2 linked regions of the Cricetulus griseus genome follow. The protein of the gene in region 1 purifies or fractionates together with the protein of each later gene. This does not show direct contact. Links are inferred from orthologs where the notes say so. Each region holds a gene or a part of one and is shown on either strand. Other genes may lie near its edges.

What was found. Proteins that work in one complex are often made in the same cells at the same time.
Region 2: the proteins of Hnrnpa3 (region 1) and Hnrnpu fractionate together in Homo sapiens (co-fractionation; 3 studies listed by BioGRID, with this or other methods). This does not show direct contact. The link is inferred for Cricetulus griseus from reciprocal best matches to the Homo sapiens genes HNRNPA3 and HNRNPU.

What each region holds. Positions count from the first base shown.
Region 1 is NC_048599.1:99,409,894-99,414,023, forward strand, and holds the start of Hnrnpa3 (heterogeneous nuclear ribonucleoprotein A3), read right to left. Parts: upstream 2,818-4,130; 5' UTR 2,739-2,817; coding exon 2,667-2,738; intron 558-2,666; coding exon 435-557; intron 351-434; coding exon 204-350; intron 126-203; coding exon 1-125. UniProt on the Homo sapiens protein: Plays a role in cytoplasmic trafficking of RNA. Binds to the cis-acting response element, A2RE. May be involved in pre-mRNA splicing.
Region 2 is NC_048598.1:15,825,520-15,829,037, reverse strand, and holds the end of Hnrnpu (heterogeneous nuclear ribonucleoprotein U), read right to left. Parts: intron 3,205-3,518; coding exon 3,076-3,204; intron 2,991-3,075; coding exon 2,822-2,990; intron 2,624-2,821; coding exon 2,369-2,623; intron 2,123-2,368; coding exon 1,941-2,122; intron 1,730-1,940; coding exon 1,658-1,729; intron 1,205-1,657; coding exon 1,151-1,204; 3' UTR 109-1,150; downstream 1-108. UniProt on the Homo sapiens protein: DNA- and RNA-binding protein involved in several cellular processes such as nuclear chromatin organization, telomere-length regulation, transcription, mRNA alternative splicing and stability, Xist-mediated transcriptional silencing and mitotic cell progression.

The sequences.
Region 1 (4,130 bases):
TCTATGGTTTCAATCTTGCCATACTTTTCAAAGTAGTCTCTCAGGTTATATTCTTCTGTATCTTCTTTAATACCACCAACAAAAATTTTCTTCACTGTTAAATGGGCGCCAGGCTTTACAGAATCCTGCAAATAAAATAATTTTAAGTCAAAAAAACCAAACTCTCACAGTTCCATGCATTATACAACATGTTATTAAAATACCTCTCTGGAAACAGCTCTCTTTGGTTCCACCACACGCCCATCAACCTTGTGTGGCCGAGCACACATTGCAGCATCCACCTCTTCAACACAAGAGTAGGTCACAAAACCAAAGCCCCTGGAACGTTTTGTTTGGGGGTCTCTCATTACCTATAAAATAAACAAATGAAAGTATTTAAATAGTCTCATAGGTCCCCATCCCTTCCTAAGACAATCCTCACCCCAAGGACTCACCACACAGTCTGTAAGTGTGCCCCATTTCTCAAAATGTTCTCTTAAGCTATCATCTGTGGTTTCAAAGCTCAGACCACCAATAAACAGCTTCCTCAACTGTTCTGGTTCCTTTGGATCATGGCCCTGAGAAAAAAAGATCGATACAGTTTTATTTTTTCTTGAAGCAAATTGTTACAAGAGTCTCAAAATTTCTATCATTAATACTCCCAATTAAAAATCTGCTCTCTACGCTGGGCATGATAATACACACCAGTTAATTTCAGCGTTTGAGGCAGAGGCTAGCCTGGACTATGTATCCAGTTCCTAGCCATTATTAAGTATGTAGAGGGTGGGTTGTTGCCTTAAAAACAAAAAAACCCCACTACAATGGTACCCCGGGTCACTTTAAACATTATGTAACTAAACTGAACCCCAAAACAATCCCAGAGTAAAAAATAACTTTTTGAAAGCTACAAGTGTATGTTAGGGGTGTATTTCAGATGTGTGTAACAAGTCATTCACAACAAAAAAGAACCCAGGAGTCAGCATTATTCAACCCATGCCATTTTCACTATCCTCAGTCTGGAACAGCAACAAACCCGTATTTTAAAACACAATCTGTGAAATGCAACTTAAAAAGTTTGGAGTGGCAAATTGAGAGAGATTCAGATTTCCAGCACATCAGTTATCTAAGACATTCCTAGGCATATCCCACAAGAACAATACAAATCAGCGATAAGATTAGGCCCGTAGTGCTTTGAGAGGGGAGCTGCTGAGGGAGGTTCTCAAGGACAGGCTAGGCAAGACTGGGCCTTGAGGCAGTCCTACTTCAGCCTTCCACGTGCTAGGGTAACAGGTGTACATCATTACACCTAGTTGCACTACTTAGCTTTCTGTAATCAATTTAACTTGGTGGATGCCCATTTACATCATATAGTTAAATGATTTCAAACAGTACACCGATATTCACAAGTATATAATTTGAATTTGTCACATATAGCATATACCATCTGCCCAAGGAAGTAAGCACAAAACCGTATTGACTTAGAATATCTGGTATGAATTTTTCATTTGGAAGGTTTTAACATTCAAATGAATTGCTTTTAATGCACGCACTAAAACAATGCAACACAAATCCTTAAAGGAGACTCACAATCACATTTAAAAACTTCTTCAATCTTCTAAAGTAGTAATTAAAGCATTCAATACTTAAATACTGCCACATACTAGAAACACGTTAAATGATCAACTGCCCAAAGTTTTAATTCACGTAGTCCCATTTATTCAAGCCTCGGATGAACGCAATTGACAATACACAAAAACAACATCTCCGTACACACAAAAAAATCCTCGTAGTCGTGAAATTTTGACTGTGGTCGAAGTTCTCTAAAACCAAAATCCAGGAAACCACAACCGGTGCCAATCCACGAGAAATTAAATCGGTAAGATATTAAGCTCCAAATTAGCACTTATCTACACGCAAATCCTTGAAATGGTTAATCCTTCAACCACCAGACGCCATAAGCACTTTCATTCCAAACACTTGAGCGAAACTAGCGGGTTAGGAAGCACCTCAAAGCAGCAAGCATTTCAGTAATGTATCCCCAAATCAACGGTGAGAAAATCCGGCCGGAGATCTGCGCGGATTGCCGTCACCGAGGAGGCCCGAAGGCCCAGATACGCGCAGGCAGCACCCCAGCGGAAAGCACCGCGCCCCGAGGCTCGAGGCCATCTGCGGCAAAATGCCCGGCCGCCTCTCGCCGCTCCCTCCAATCCCACGCACTCCTCCTTGGCGGCGTAACCAGGCGGCGGCCATTGCGGGCCAATGCGCCATTTCGTAACGCGGCAGCGGATCAATGTCAATGTGGCCGCCGCCCGCCTGCTCGCTCGCTCGCCCGGATGTGCTCCTCCCCTCCCCCACCGCCTCCTCCCAACCGCTCCCGCGGAGGCCCGCCATGCCGCCCGCGGCCTCGCCAGTCAGGCCGCGCAGGCCTCGGGATCCTCGCCCGGCCGCGGACCACCTCCCCGGCCGCGCCGCGTCTCCGAGGGCTGCTGGTGCGGCCGACCGAGAGGGCCAGGCCGACCGAGGGCCTCGATGGGGCCGCTAGGCCCGCTCCCCTCCCCCTCCCACCGCCCTCTCAGCGCAGAGCGCGGGACGATCGTCCCGGTTTCCCCCGGCCTCCCCGCTCCCATCGAGCCAAAGCCCCCCCACGCCGGCAACTACCCAGCAACCCCCCGCTCTCCCCCTAATACCTCCTCCCCCCGGCGGCGGCGGCGACGGCCGGAGTCAGGCTGGGGGCGACCGGGCGGCGGTTTTACCTCCATTTTGAGACCGGACTCGCCTCTTCCAACTCGAGTTCAATATGGGACCGAGAGGAAGAGGCGGGGCTAGTCATCACGTGACGCGCTTTCCGCGCGCCGCCCGCCCCTCGGGGGCGGAGTCACGCCTAAGCGGAGCGCGACTGGACGGGCGGGTTGGCGGGCCGAGAGCGGCGGGTCCGGATTGGTCGAGCCGCGGGAGCGCGCGCGCCTCACCAACTTCCAACGCAGCGCCGCCCTCGCCGCGGTTCGCGCCAGGCAACGTCAGGTACGTCAGCGGCAGCTCGACCAATGGCAAGCGCCCACGTCGGGAGAAAGCCGCGTGACCGCGCGTCCGCCCAGAGAAAGGCCTATTCCCTTTCTTTTTGGCGCCTCTCGCCCCTCCCCGCGCGCTTTTGGGTCTCCATTTCCCAGTTCACCCTATTGCAGTGCCGGAAGGAAGAGCACGCTTTTCTGTCCTGCGACTTAAGGTTGCCAGAAAGCCTGCGGACCCCTTTGCCTCCCTCGCGGAATCTAAATGTTGGGGGCCCGAGGTGTGCAGAGTGTGACGGCGCCGTCCCCTTGGGAGGCCCACGCTGCAAGCCCTGCGGCACTGACGTTCCTAAGTCCCGCACGTCGCACGGGCGGGAAAATGCGGCTGACTGGATGAGACTCTCTATAGGCGACTCTCAGAGTTAAAGAATTAAGATTTTTATCAATCTGGGGGGAAGGAACGGAATCGTTTGTTTAGGGCACAGAATTTTAGAGAATGGAGCCATTTCCAAAGTTTCTTTTTTTCTTTCTTTGTTTTTATTTACTTATTTATTGGGGGGGGGGTTCGAGACAGGGTTTCTCAGAGGTTTGGAGGCTACCCTGGAACTCACTTTGAAGATCAGCCTGGCCTCGAACTCACAGAGATCCACCTGCCTCTGCCTCCGGAGTGCTGGGATTAAAGGCGTGTGCAAACTAACGCCTGGCTCCAAACTATCTAAAAAGGTTTGGTGGCCAGATAGGCTGTCTTTTACTAGTGTCTTTTTAAAATGACAGCTGTTTGAAGTTTTATTGTGAAGCACATAAATGAAATAGAAATCGAATCCTTTCTCGGCCTGGCAAAGGGATTTGAAATCATTTGGACTTTTAGATTTTCAAATAAAAGTCAACATAGGATTCGATGATCTCCCAACACCCATGACAACAGGCGTGGTATAGCATATCTCGAGCCCACTCTGACCTACGTGGAGTTCCAGGCAGCCAGTGCTGTATAGTGACACCCTGTCTCAACAACAACAACAAAATCTGCAAATCCATTTAAATAAAGTTACTAGGGGAAAGAACAGCACAATTGACAAGCCCTTTCCTGCAACAAATAGCCTATTTTAATTTAAATTCAGCATAACAGAACAAACTTTGTCTTTCCCT
Region 2 (3,518 bases), on another chromosome or scaffold:
AGAGTAAAAGAATAAGCTGTCCAGAAAGCACACACTTATAATTTCTCCTCTTGGGAGTTGTAGTATAAAGGGATTTTGAACCTTGATGGCGAGAATCCCAAACAAGAGTAAAATGAATTCTTTTTATTGCAAACAAACGTCTAAATTAATTTCTCCACCCACTTTCTTTAGAAAGAAAAAGAAATCAGCAGGCTAAGGAGATACCCATTCAAGAACTGACATGATTAAAAGATATAAATGGGTGACTCACAATTTCATTAGCTTACAAAGATGGTGGAGTTAACTACTACAAGCACACTAGTTATACAGTATTTTGTGGGAGAAGGGCATACAGACATAGCTAACTTCATATAGATCCCATTAGACAACTGGATTTACAACAAGTTTTTTTAATAAGAAATGGGCAAAGCCAGCTTTCTTTTCAGAATCAAAATGCAGAACAAATGGAAAAATTTATGGTATTTAACCTTCACAAGTTTGAGCCTCCACATATAATGCAACCAAGTTTACATTTTTAACAGCCCTTCTACATACACTCCATCTTCTCAATCTTGGTTCTAAATTTTATCTTCATTCCCAATTGTTCAAATTCCATTGTTAAACAGAAAAAAGAATAGCTTTCCCGGTTTGTCAGAAATTTCCTTTCCACTATTACCCACCAGTTTACAGAGAGGATGGAGTGTATTATGAGCAATACAGAATCTTATGCAATTCATGAGGACCACTTAGTCCTTCCATGAATCTGGTTGCTAACATTGCTATTTTATTGTGACAATGACTCCCGACTGTTATTCTCTGTGAGAAATGGGGGAGTAAATGCTTAATAAAAGACACCAGGTACAAAGCAACATTTTACTTTTGTTGTGATAAAAAAAAGTCACATTTTACAGATAAAATGTAGAACCCTGAAATACTGACACATTCTCTTATCGTGCACAATGCTGAGGTTCTCTTACGATTCACTTTAAAACTGCAATTAAAAATGTACAAAAAAGAAAAGAAAAAAAAATCAACCCACAAAGCTTCTAAAAAAGGAACCCGCAGGCACTTCCTCTTGTGGAATGTTTAAAAAGTTAGCCTACTAAAGAAAACAGTCGACTTCTTGTGAAGGTTTTGGAGAAATATGTATCAGTTCGTTTTATTTGGGTATTCAATAATATCCTTGGTGATAATGCTGACTCCATGGCTTCTGACCCCAGAATTGCTGTAAGAGAAAATTTTGTTTTTAAAGAAAAAAAAACATCAATAAGCCACTCAAATTGTTTTTAGGAAATGACAATGATCTAATTCAGAGTAATTGCTGGAAACAAATTTATACTTGTCACACTTAATTTCTACATCAGACCAGAGACTTAGTTTTAATTTACCAATTACCCATATTATTTACCAATACACATTACAAAAAGAAACACAAGACTTGGGTTAGTTTACGTAATTAAAACTATTAAAAAGAACCATAATAAAAACACCGTATGTAGTAAATATTACTTTATCTAAAAATCTGTTAAAACTCCAGCCTATCCATGGTTACAATTTATAACACAGTAATAAGACTATAATTGTATCAAACACTTCAATCCCTAGATAAGAACTTCCGATCTGATTCTTGTAAACATAAAAACTACAATTTATGTAATTACTTAAGAAAACTACTTACACCCTGCTGCCACTGGTTGTAGCCCTGAGATTGATTTTTGTAGCCACGATTGTTTCCTCGTCCTCTGAAGTTCTATGAAAGGGAAAAAAAAATATCTGTAAATAGGTCTGAAGTAATGCTTGGACATTTTAAAGGGGCATGCTGAAACCCTGTATACCCCTGGTCATTGTTGTTACTGTTAGTGCATCTGAAAAGCAAAGATCATTAAACTAAACTGCTTCACAACTATGTCAATGCCACCTACAACTTTCTAGGTCAAATTATAGATGCTAGCTCCTCTTACCTGGTTGTAGTTCCCTCTGTTGGGCATTCCACCTCTGTTGTAATTTCCTCTGTTCGAGTAACCACCTCGGCCAGGAAAAACAGGGCCCCGGGGGTATGGGTAGCCAATTCCACCACTTCCACCACCGCCACCTCTCTGTGGCATATTGCCTCTCCTATTATATCCGCCACGATTACCAGGAGCTAAACACAAGAAGAGTTTATTTAGTCCTGCCATAACCTAGAGTTCAGTCCAGTTACAGCATTAGTGAAAAACAAATAATGTCATACTTCACTACTGAATATATAGTATGAATTGTAAATTACATACTAATTAGACATGGCAGCATAAAATATCTAAGAAATTAACTTCTTTAGCTACTTGACAAACTAAAAGATCCTCTGCTCACTTTAAAATTTCAATCGAATAGAATATTAAAATTAACTTGCCTCCACCTCTGAAATTGCCACCTCGCATATTGAATCCTCCACGTCCTCTATGGCCACCACCTCTGTTGAACTGGTTCTTGCCACTCTTATTTTTATTGCTCTTCTTTGAGCCAGTATTTTGCTTCTTTTCTGGTGGGAGTGCCTTTTTGCTTTCTTCCTTGTATTGCTCCAAAAGCTTTTGGGCTTCTTCCTTCTGAAGTTCAACATAGGTTATTTCATCAAAGCACTCAGCCACCTCTGGCAGGGTAAAATTTCCTATAGGGAATAAAGTCAGATTAAAATTATAAAACTATATTTGTTCATGGATAGCTTAGAGACATCTTTTATAAACACATTTCTATTTGCCAAATTAATATAATTCCTAACAGTGCTGGCAGTTTTAAAAAACACTTTTCAGGCATAACTCACAGAAACAGACTTAAGACAGTAAGTAATAACAGGAAAACTCCATGCCTTTCATTTTAAGGACAGCATGCTCTGGTAGGTCTTTCCCCTCTACTTCTGCTTTCTTCTGTGTCCTCTGCTTATAGTCTTCATCTTTTGGGCAAACTACGACAGCTTTTCGCTGGAAGCCTGCAAACAGGCACATTTTTCTCCTTTGGGCCGCAGCAGACACATTTGTCTTAAAGGGAAAAGTGAAGAGTTAAAAGACATTAATCTCACATCTTATCAATTAATATTAAAAAAATTTCAAAGCTTTTGCTCACCTGATCCAGAATAAAATTCCGCTTCTTGCGGGCAGCAATCTCAATAAACTTCCCAAGACACTGTGGAGCTCTCTGCAACAGCGTGTTCAGTTTTCCAGTATCTGCCATTTGCTTCTTAAAACCTGCCACCTACCAAAATTTTTCTTTTACTTTGTGTATTTTAAAAGCTCTGAACTGCACATACAGGACACCAGGCACCATTTTTACAAATTCAACTGCATCCTTTCATTACTACAATAGCTTTTATGACCTTGCTCTTTAAATTGCTGTTCAAGGTTAATTTATGGGAAAGCAATCACTAAAGTACCCCACTTTGTTTTAGCCAAAATTCTTTTCTCTAAGATATTAATAAGAGAAACACAAGCCAAGGTTAACCTAGGATAACTTCTGAACCCATTTACTATAATTCTAAGATTAATGTCAGGGTACATGTAATGTATACT